Schizosaccharomyces pombe: one gene and its partner. The gene in region 1 interacts genetically with each later gene. Each region holds a gene or a part of one and is shown on either strand. Other genes may lie near its edges.

What was found.
Region 2: mutations in res2 (region 1) and tea2 together harm fitness more than expected from each alone (negative genetic interaction), as found in Schizosaccharomyces pombe (3 studies listed by BioGRID, with this or other methods).

The regions. Positions count from the first base shown.
Region 1 is NC_003424.3:684,535-688,292, forward strand, and holds the start of res2 (MBF transcription factor complex subunit Res2), read left to right. Parts: upstream 1-2,000; 5' UTR 2,001-2,058; coding exon 2,059-2,290; exon of another isoform or gene 2,291-2,454; coding exon 2,455-3,758. Other genes in the region: glutamate-cysteine ligase Gcs1, read left to right, coding at 1-1,736.
Region 2 is NC_003423.3:3,891,146-3,894,903, forward strand, and holds the start of tea2 (kinesin family plus-end directed microtubule motor Tea2), read left to right. Parts: upstream 1-1,911; 5' UTR 1,912-2,055; coding exon 2,056-3,758. Other genes in the region: uba1 (ubiquitin-activating enzyme E1), read left to right, coding at 1-755; Pet117 cytochrome c oxidase assemby protein, read left to right, coding at 1,110-1,205, 1,259-1,429. UniProt on the Schizosaccharomyces pombe protein: Promotes microtubule growth, possibly through interactions with the microtubule end, and is important for establishing and maintaining polarized growth along the long axis of the cell.

The DNA of each region.
Region 1 (3,758 bases):
CTGTATATGCCGCTTTGAGGAATGAAACCTGCCCAAAGAAAATAGACGCCATTTTATCTGAAGTGGCTAAAAACCCGGCTGATTATGTCGAACGCATAGGAGGAAATTCAAACAAAGATACTATAGAAATTACGAGTTCCACCAAACCACATGCGCAGAACGCGGTCCCTACTTTCCATCCAGAATATGGTCGTTATATGTTGGAAAGTACACCAGGTGCGCCTTATGGTTCCACTTTAAAGGATTTTACTTTTGTAGAGTACAATATGCGATTAAGAAGAAAAATTATTGAAAACCATTTACTACCCAATGAGCTACCTTTAACAATTACTAATTTCTTTCGTCTTGGAACACCAGGCTTTACGGATCCAGAAGTCGAAGCCAATGGTGCAATTTCGCGATCTTTTTTCTTACCGGACGATGTTATCAACACACATGTTCGTTTCCCGACCTTGACTGCTAATATTCGTCAAAGGCGCGGGAGAAAAGTGGCCATGAATGTTCCGATTTTCTTCGATAAAAATACAATTAAACCATTTCACGATCCTACCGTTCCTTGGGATAGAAATTTGTTTCCTGAAGATGCAAATGCACGAGATGGTGCAGCGTTAGACAATCATATTTACATGGACAGTATGGGTTTCGGTATGGGATGCTGTTGTCTACAAATTACATTCCAAGCTAAAAGTTGTGATGAAGCTAGACTTTTATACGATCAGTTGACTCCTATTACCCCCTTGATGCTGGCATTATCTGCCGGAACTCCAGCATTTCGAGGCTATTTGGCTGATCAAGATTGTAGATGGAATGTGATTGCTGGTGCTGTCGATGATCGAACCGAGGAAGAAATGAAAACTGTGCCAAAATCAAGGTATGATTCTGTTGACTTATATATCTCGAATGACAAGCGCAATTTACCGGAATATAATGACGTCCCGGTCGTTATAAATCAAGATTGCTACGATAAGCTAATAAAAGATTGCATTGATGAAAGATTGGCTAAGCACATGGCTCACATATTCTCTCGTGATCCTTTGGTTATTTTCAGTGACAGCATTTTACAAGACAACAGTGTATCCAATGCTCATTTTGAGAACCTAAACTCAACTAACTGGCAATCTATGCGCTTTAAACCTCCTCCACCAGGTAGTGATATTGGTTGGCGTGTAGAATTTAGATCAATGGAAATTCAAATAACTGATTTTGAAAATGCGGCATATTCAATTTTTGTTGTGATGCTTTCTCGTGCAATTCTATCCTTCAATTTGAATCTGTACATGCCGATATCGCTAGTGGATGAAAACATGAAAGCTGCTCATGCTCGTGATGCCATTCATCGTAAAAAGTTTTGGTTCCGTTGCAATCCATTTCCTGACGCAAGTACTGATGATGAATCTGGTCAGTTCCGTCAACTTACAATTGACGAGTTATTTAATGGTGAGCACCGTGAAAACGGATTCCCAGGTTTAATTACCATTGTTCGAAGCTATTTATACTCTTGTAATCCTGATGCCAAAACTATTTGCCTAATTGAACGTTATATTCGCCTAATTTCTCAAAGAGCAAATGGCCAATGCTTGACTGCTGCTTCGTGGATACGCAATTTCATTACAACTCATCCTTCTTATAAGCAAGACAGCGTGGTCAACGACGAAATTAATTATGATTTAATTAGAAGAATAGCAAAAATTGTAGATGGCGACTACGACGATACGTTACTTGGAAAATGCTCATAATGCAGATGAATTCTGAGTGGAATATATATAAGATTTTTTTCTACTTAATAACATATCTAAAATTTTGGTAATTTAAATTCCTTTGCAATTCAGTATTACAAGTGTAGTTCTTTGGCAACTGAGACTTCCCATTGATTCCTTTCATTAAGTGAATACTCATTATTTAATTAGTGCTAATATATATTCAGTAACTACATAGTTGATTTTCTGTATTGCCCCACCCTTCCCTATTGTTATGTGTATACGCAGGTAGGGTGAGCGAACGCAATGCATGCACCCTTTTAAGAGTCCGCGCTACGCATTTTAACTGCCTTTTGCTGTAATGGCTCCACGTTCTTCCGCAGTACATGTTGCCGTTTATTCTGGGGTTGAAGTCTATGAATGCTTTATTAAAGGTGTCTCTGTGATGCGCAGACGCCGCGATTCCTGGTTGAATGCTACACAAATCTTGAAAGTGGCTGACTTTGACAAACCACAAAGGACAAGGGTTTTAGAAAGACAAGTACAGATTGGTGCGCATGAAAAAGTACAAGGTGGATATGGAAAATATCAGGGTAAGTTGTCTACTGTTACGCGTTGTGACATGATTTGCTATCTTTGAACAACGCGAACAATTGAGTGTTTACTAAGCCAAATCGAGGTATTTTAATACCTTTTTGTATTAAATATCTCTATGGACGCGTCCTCTAAATGATTGACGGTATTAACCAAACTATAGGAACTTGGGTTCCATTTCAGCGTGGGGTCGACCTGGCCACAAAGTATAAGGTTGACGGAATAATGAGCCCAATATTGAGTCTTGACATTGATGAGGGAAAAGCAATTGCTCCAAAGAAGAAGCAGACCAAGCAGAAAAAGCCTTCTGTACGTGGCCGTAGAGGCCGTAAACCGTCGTCACTTTCTAGTAGCACTTTGCATTCCGTCAATGAAAAACAACCGAATTCTTCTATATCACCAACAATTGAGTCATCTATGAATAAAGTGAATTTGCCTGGTGCAGAGGAGCAAGTTTCTGCAACACCTCTGCCAGCGTCTCCTAATGCACTGCTATCACCAAATGATAACACTATAAAACCTGTTGAAGAGTTAGGCATGTTGGAGGCACCGCTTGACAAATATGAAGAGTCACTACTTGACTTCTTTCTTCACCCAGAAGAGGGACGCATTCCTTCCTTCCTGTATTCGCCGCCCCCGGATTTTCAAGTTAACAGTGTTATTGATGATGATGGCCACACTTCTCTTCATTGGGCATGCTCAATGGGACATATAGAGATGATTAAGTTATTACTGAGAGCCAATGCTGACATTGGCGTGTGTAACAGACTGAGTCAAACACCATTGATGAGGAGTGTTATCTTTACCAATAATTATGACTGCCAAACTTTTGGACAAGTGCTTGAGCTTCTCCAGTCTACTATTTATGCTGTTGACACCAATGGTCAGTCAATTTTTCATCATATTGTGCAATCAACCTCAACTCCTTCAAAAGTTGCAGCGGCCAAATACTATTTGGATTGCATATTAGAGAAACTAATATCGATTCAACCATTTGAAAATGTTGTGAGATTGGTAAATCTACAAGATTCAAATGGAGATACCTCTCTATTAATTGCTGCTCGAAATGGAGCCATGGATTGTGTAAACTCTTTATTAAGTTATAACGCCAATCCTTCTATTCCTAACCGACAAAGACGTACAGCTTCCGAGTATCTTTTGGAAGCTGACAAAAAGCCACATTCATTGTTACAGTCAAACTCAAATGCTTCGCATAGTGCTTTTTCATTTTCCGGAATAAGCCCTGCTATTATCTCGCCATCATGCTCATCGCATGCTTTTGTTAAGGCAATTCCTTCAATATCTTCGAAATTTTCTCAATTAGCAGAGGAGTATGAATCTCAGCTTCGAGAAAAAGAAGAAGATTTGATTAGAGCGAATCGTCTCAAGCAAGACACGCTTAATGAAATTTCCAGAACTTATCAGGAATTGACCTTTCTGCAGAAAAATAACCCCACTTATAGTCAA
Region 2 (3,758 bases), on another chromosome or scaffold:
AGTCTGGTATTAAAATTCAAGTCAATGAAAATGAAGAAGCTCCCGAAACCGCTGCTAATAAAGATAAACAAGAACTGAAATCGATTGCTGACAGTCTACCACCTCCATCCTCTCTTGTGGGTTTTAGACTAACTCCGGCAGAATTTGAAAAGGACGATGACTCTAATCATCACATTGACTTTATAACGGCTGCATCAAATTTGCGTGCCATGAATTACGACATCACACCTGCGGATAGGTTTAAGACGAAGTTTGTTGCCGGTAAAATTGTACCAGCCATGTGTACATCAACTGCTGTCGTTTCAGGACTTGTATGTCTTGAGCTTGTTAAACTTGTTGATGGCAAAAAGAAGATCGAGGAATATAAAAATGGATTTTTCAACCTTGCTATAGGGCTCTTTACATTTTCTGATCCTATTGCTTCTCCGAAAATGAAAGTCAATGGTAAAGAAATCGACAAAATCTGGGATCGCTACAATCTCCCGGACTGCACACTTCAAGAGCTTATTGATTATTTCCAAAAAGAAGAGGGGTTGGAAGTGACCATGCTTTCATCTGGAGTTTCTCTTTTGTATGCTAATTTCCAACCACCTAAGAAACTTGCTGAAAGGTTGCCTCTCAAAATTTCTGAATTGGTTGAGCAAATTACTAAGAAAAAACTAGAACCTTTCCGGAAACACTTGGTGCTTGAAATTTGCTGTGATGATGCCAACGGTGAAGACGTTGAAGTTCCATTTATTTGTATCAAGTTGTAATACCTTTGAGAACCGGTTAATTCCTGGAATTTGCAACATTTAATGCCAATGGCTCTAATAAATTTACTAAATTAGTATTAGCAGTCTTTAAAAAACATTAATAGGCATGTATGAATAATTTATTATTTTTCCTATACTCTTTCTAATTTTTATGAACTAAGATCTGTTATATTTTAAAAAGTATTTTGACATGTAGTAAAATTGTTGTTTTTTTGAGCAATTTTTTTAACGTCGGCGATTGGCATTTACGTAAGTTTCGACTGCTAACCTCCTAATTTACCTAAGAGTATATCTTTACTCGGCTACAAAAGTCTATCGTATACATTATATTAAATTTAACTAGAATTATTGCCAATGTCTACTGCCTCAAAACTTTGTATCGTCGGGGCCGGTGTCTTTAGTGTTTACATGGTTTATTTCGTACATAATAATCAGATTATTGAACGAGAGGTAATATTTACTTATATTAAAGAAAATATGCACCATAGCTAATGTAAGTATAGAAAATGTCGGCGGGAGTTCAAAAAGATGATGAAAGGAAAAGAATTAAAAAAGAAAGGTTTGAAGACCTAAAGCGACAACAAGAGTTACGAAAATTTTACGAAAGCCAGCTACCTGTTGAAGAGGACGAAAAGGGTCTCCGACAGACAACGCAAACAACAGTGAACGACTAAAACCAAGTTTTTAACACAGATTGGACGAATCGAAATTATAGACAGCTTGAAACCTATAGCCTCGGACTTCCAGTGTTCAGCCAATTTATCCAGAGCAACTTATTTACCTTTACTATACATTAATATTTTTTTCATCTTTGCCAGATTTTAAGGATTTAATATTGAGAAATTCAGCTCGGTTAAATAAAAAAGAAGTAACTACATCTAGAAAACGGCATAACAGGGTGTGTTAATCTTAGAGGGTTATAGGCAAAAGAGCTAGTTTTTTGTTAACATTACTCAAAAAGGAAATATAAATCAATTTACATTATGCTATATATTAATGAAATTTACTTTATCCGGTTATTAGTAATATAAACTTGTCATAGTTTACTGGTTATTCGTTATAATGGTTACTACCATCGTAACGAGGTAAGTATGCCGAAGTGTCTTGAGATTCCTTAATGTGCGAATGAAGTGAATGGTGAAGGTAGTTTATGTCTGACAAATTCTAATACATTTCACTAGCTTGTTGAAAGATTTCAAAACTGAGTAAATTTGACCACCACTTAATGGAAATTTTTCTATTCTTTTTATTTTATATAAGCACGTTCATTTTCTAACCTGTTATTTTTCTACTTCATGAAATGAGTTCATCTTCCTCAAAACCCGTGAATACTGGGTTGGTTACACCTCGCCGCTATTCTACAATGACTGGCATACGGACTGGTCCATCTCAGAGTGGAACAGGGAGTATTCCATATTCCCCAACGTCACCATTGTCCCGAAATTTTTCGAACTATTCCATACCTATGCTACGAAGCAATAGCACTCAAACAAATGTAAATGGGCCTACAGCATTTGATTTGGGAGTTACAGAGAAATTGATGTCTCCTGGAACTTTAGATAGATACACGCGTCCTGCCTTGTATCCGTCGAAGGACTTGGATTATTTAAAAAATGAGTATGTTAATTATGAATCTACAACAAGTCAACAAACCAATTCTAAAGGTTTAAAAGAGAGCAACTTTGTTGGTTCAGGAATTATCACAAGTATACGTATTCGACCTATTGGTAAAAACCAAGGTGTATGGTCACATGGCAAGTTAAGCAATGACCCATATGGTCGTGAATACATTCGCCAGCAAACAAGTACAAGCTCGTCCACAATTCAGCAAGAATATCTTTTTAATAATGTTTTTGGGATGGAATCTAAAAATTACGATATATACAAACGTTCTGTTAAGTCGGTTGTCCGTAATGTTTTTTCCGGATATAATGGAATAGTGTTTGCTTATGGAATGACCGGCACAGGAAAAACATATTCTATGCAAGGTACGGAAAACGAACCTGGTATTATTCCACTTGCCATGAATGATTTATTTGAAATGGTTGAAAACAATTCTGATGACGATACCTTTCAAATCCGTATATCCTATTTAGAAATTTATAATGAGAGAATACGAGACTTAATCGGAAACTCGGACGAAGAGCCAAGAATACGCGAAAATGCATCTGGAGAAGTCAATGTTACACCATTAACTCGAGTTCTCGTCACTAGCCCCGAAGAGGTTAGTCAGGTTATTGAACAGTGCAATGCAATCCGAAAAACAGCAGCAACCGATTTCAATACGTATAGTTCTCGTTCGCATGCAATTCTTCAGGTTTTTCTTATTCGAAATAATCCTACTGCTCACACTTCACAAATTTCGAGTCTCAGCTTGGTGGATCTCGCTGGAAGTGAAAGAGCTTCAGCTCACCATGAAAGACGCAAAGAAGGAGCATTTATCAACAAATCTCTTTTAACATTAGGAACTGTTATTTCTAGGTTGTCAGCAGCTGCAAATCCTTCACTTACCTCAAATTCAGGACATATACCGTATCGTGAGTCTAAGTTAACTCGTCTGTTGCAGCAATCTTTATCCGGCCAATCACAAATATCACTTTTAGCAACGATAAGCATAGAATCCAACCATACGATGGAGACTACTAACACGCTTAAATTTGCATCTAGAGCTCAAAATTTGCCTCAAGATATTCGCCAAGCGGAAGCTGTGACTAATGTTCAAGCTGAATTAGCATCTTTACACTCTGCCCTTGAAAAGAATGCCCAAGAAGTTGAATATTATGCTTCTTTGGTGAAGCAATTGACTTCGGACTTAGAGGAACGAGATACATACATTGCCATGTTAGAGGCAGAGCGTTCGCAAGGAACTGCTATAAGTAGAGCTCGTTTACGAATGGAGGAATTGCTTTCTGACCATAATTTCGAAATTGCAGATCTAAGAGATGAATTACAAGATAAAGAACAAATTATTTATGCTCTTCGATATGCTCAGAAGCAACGGGA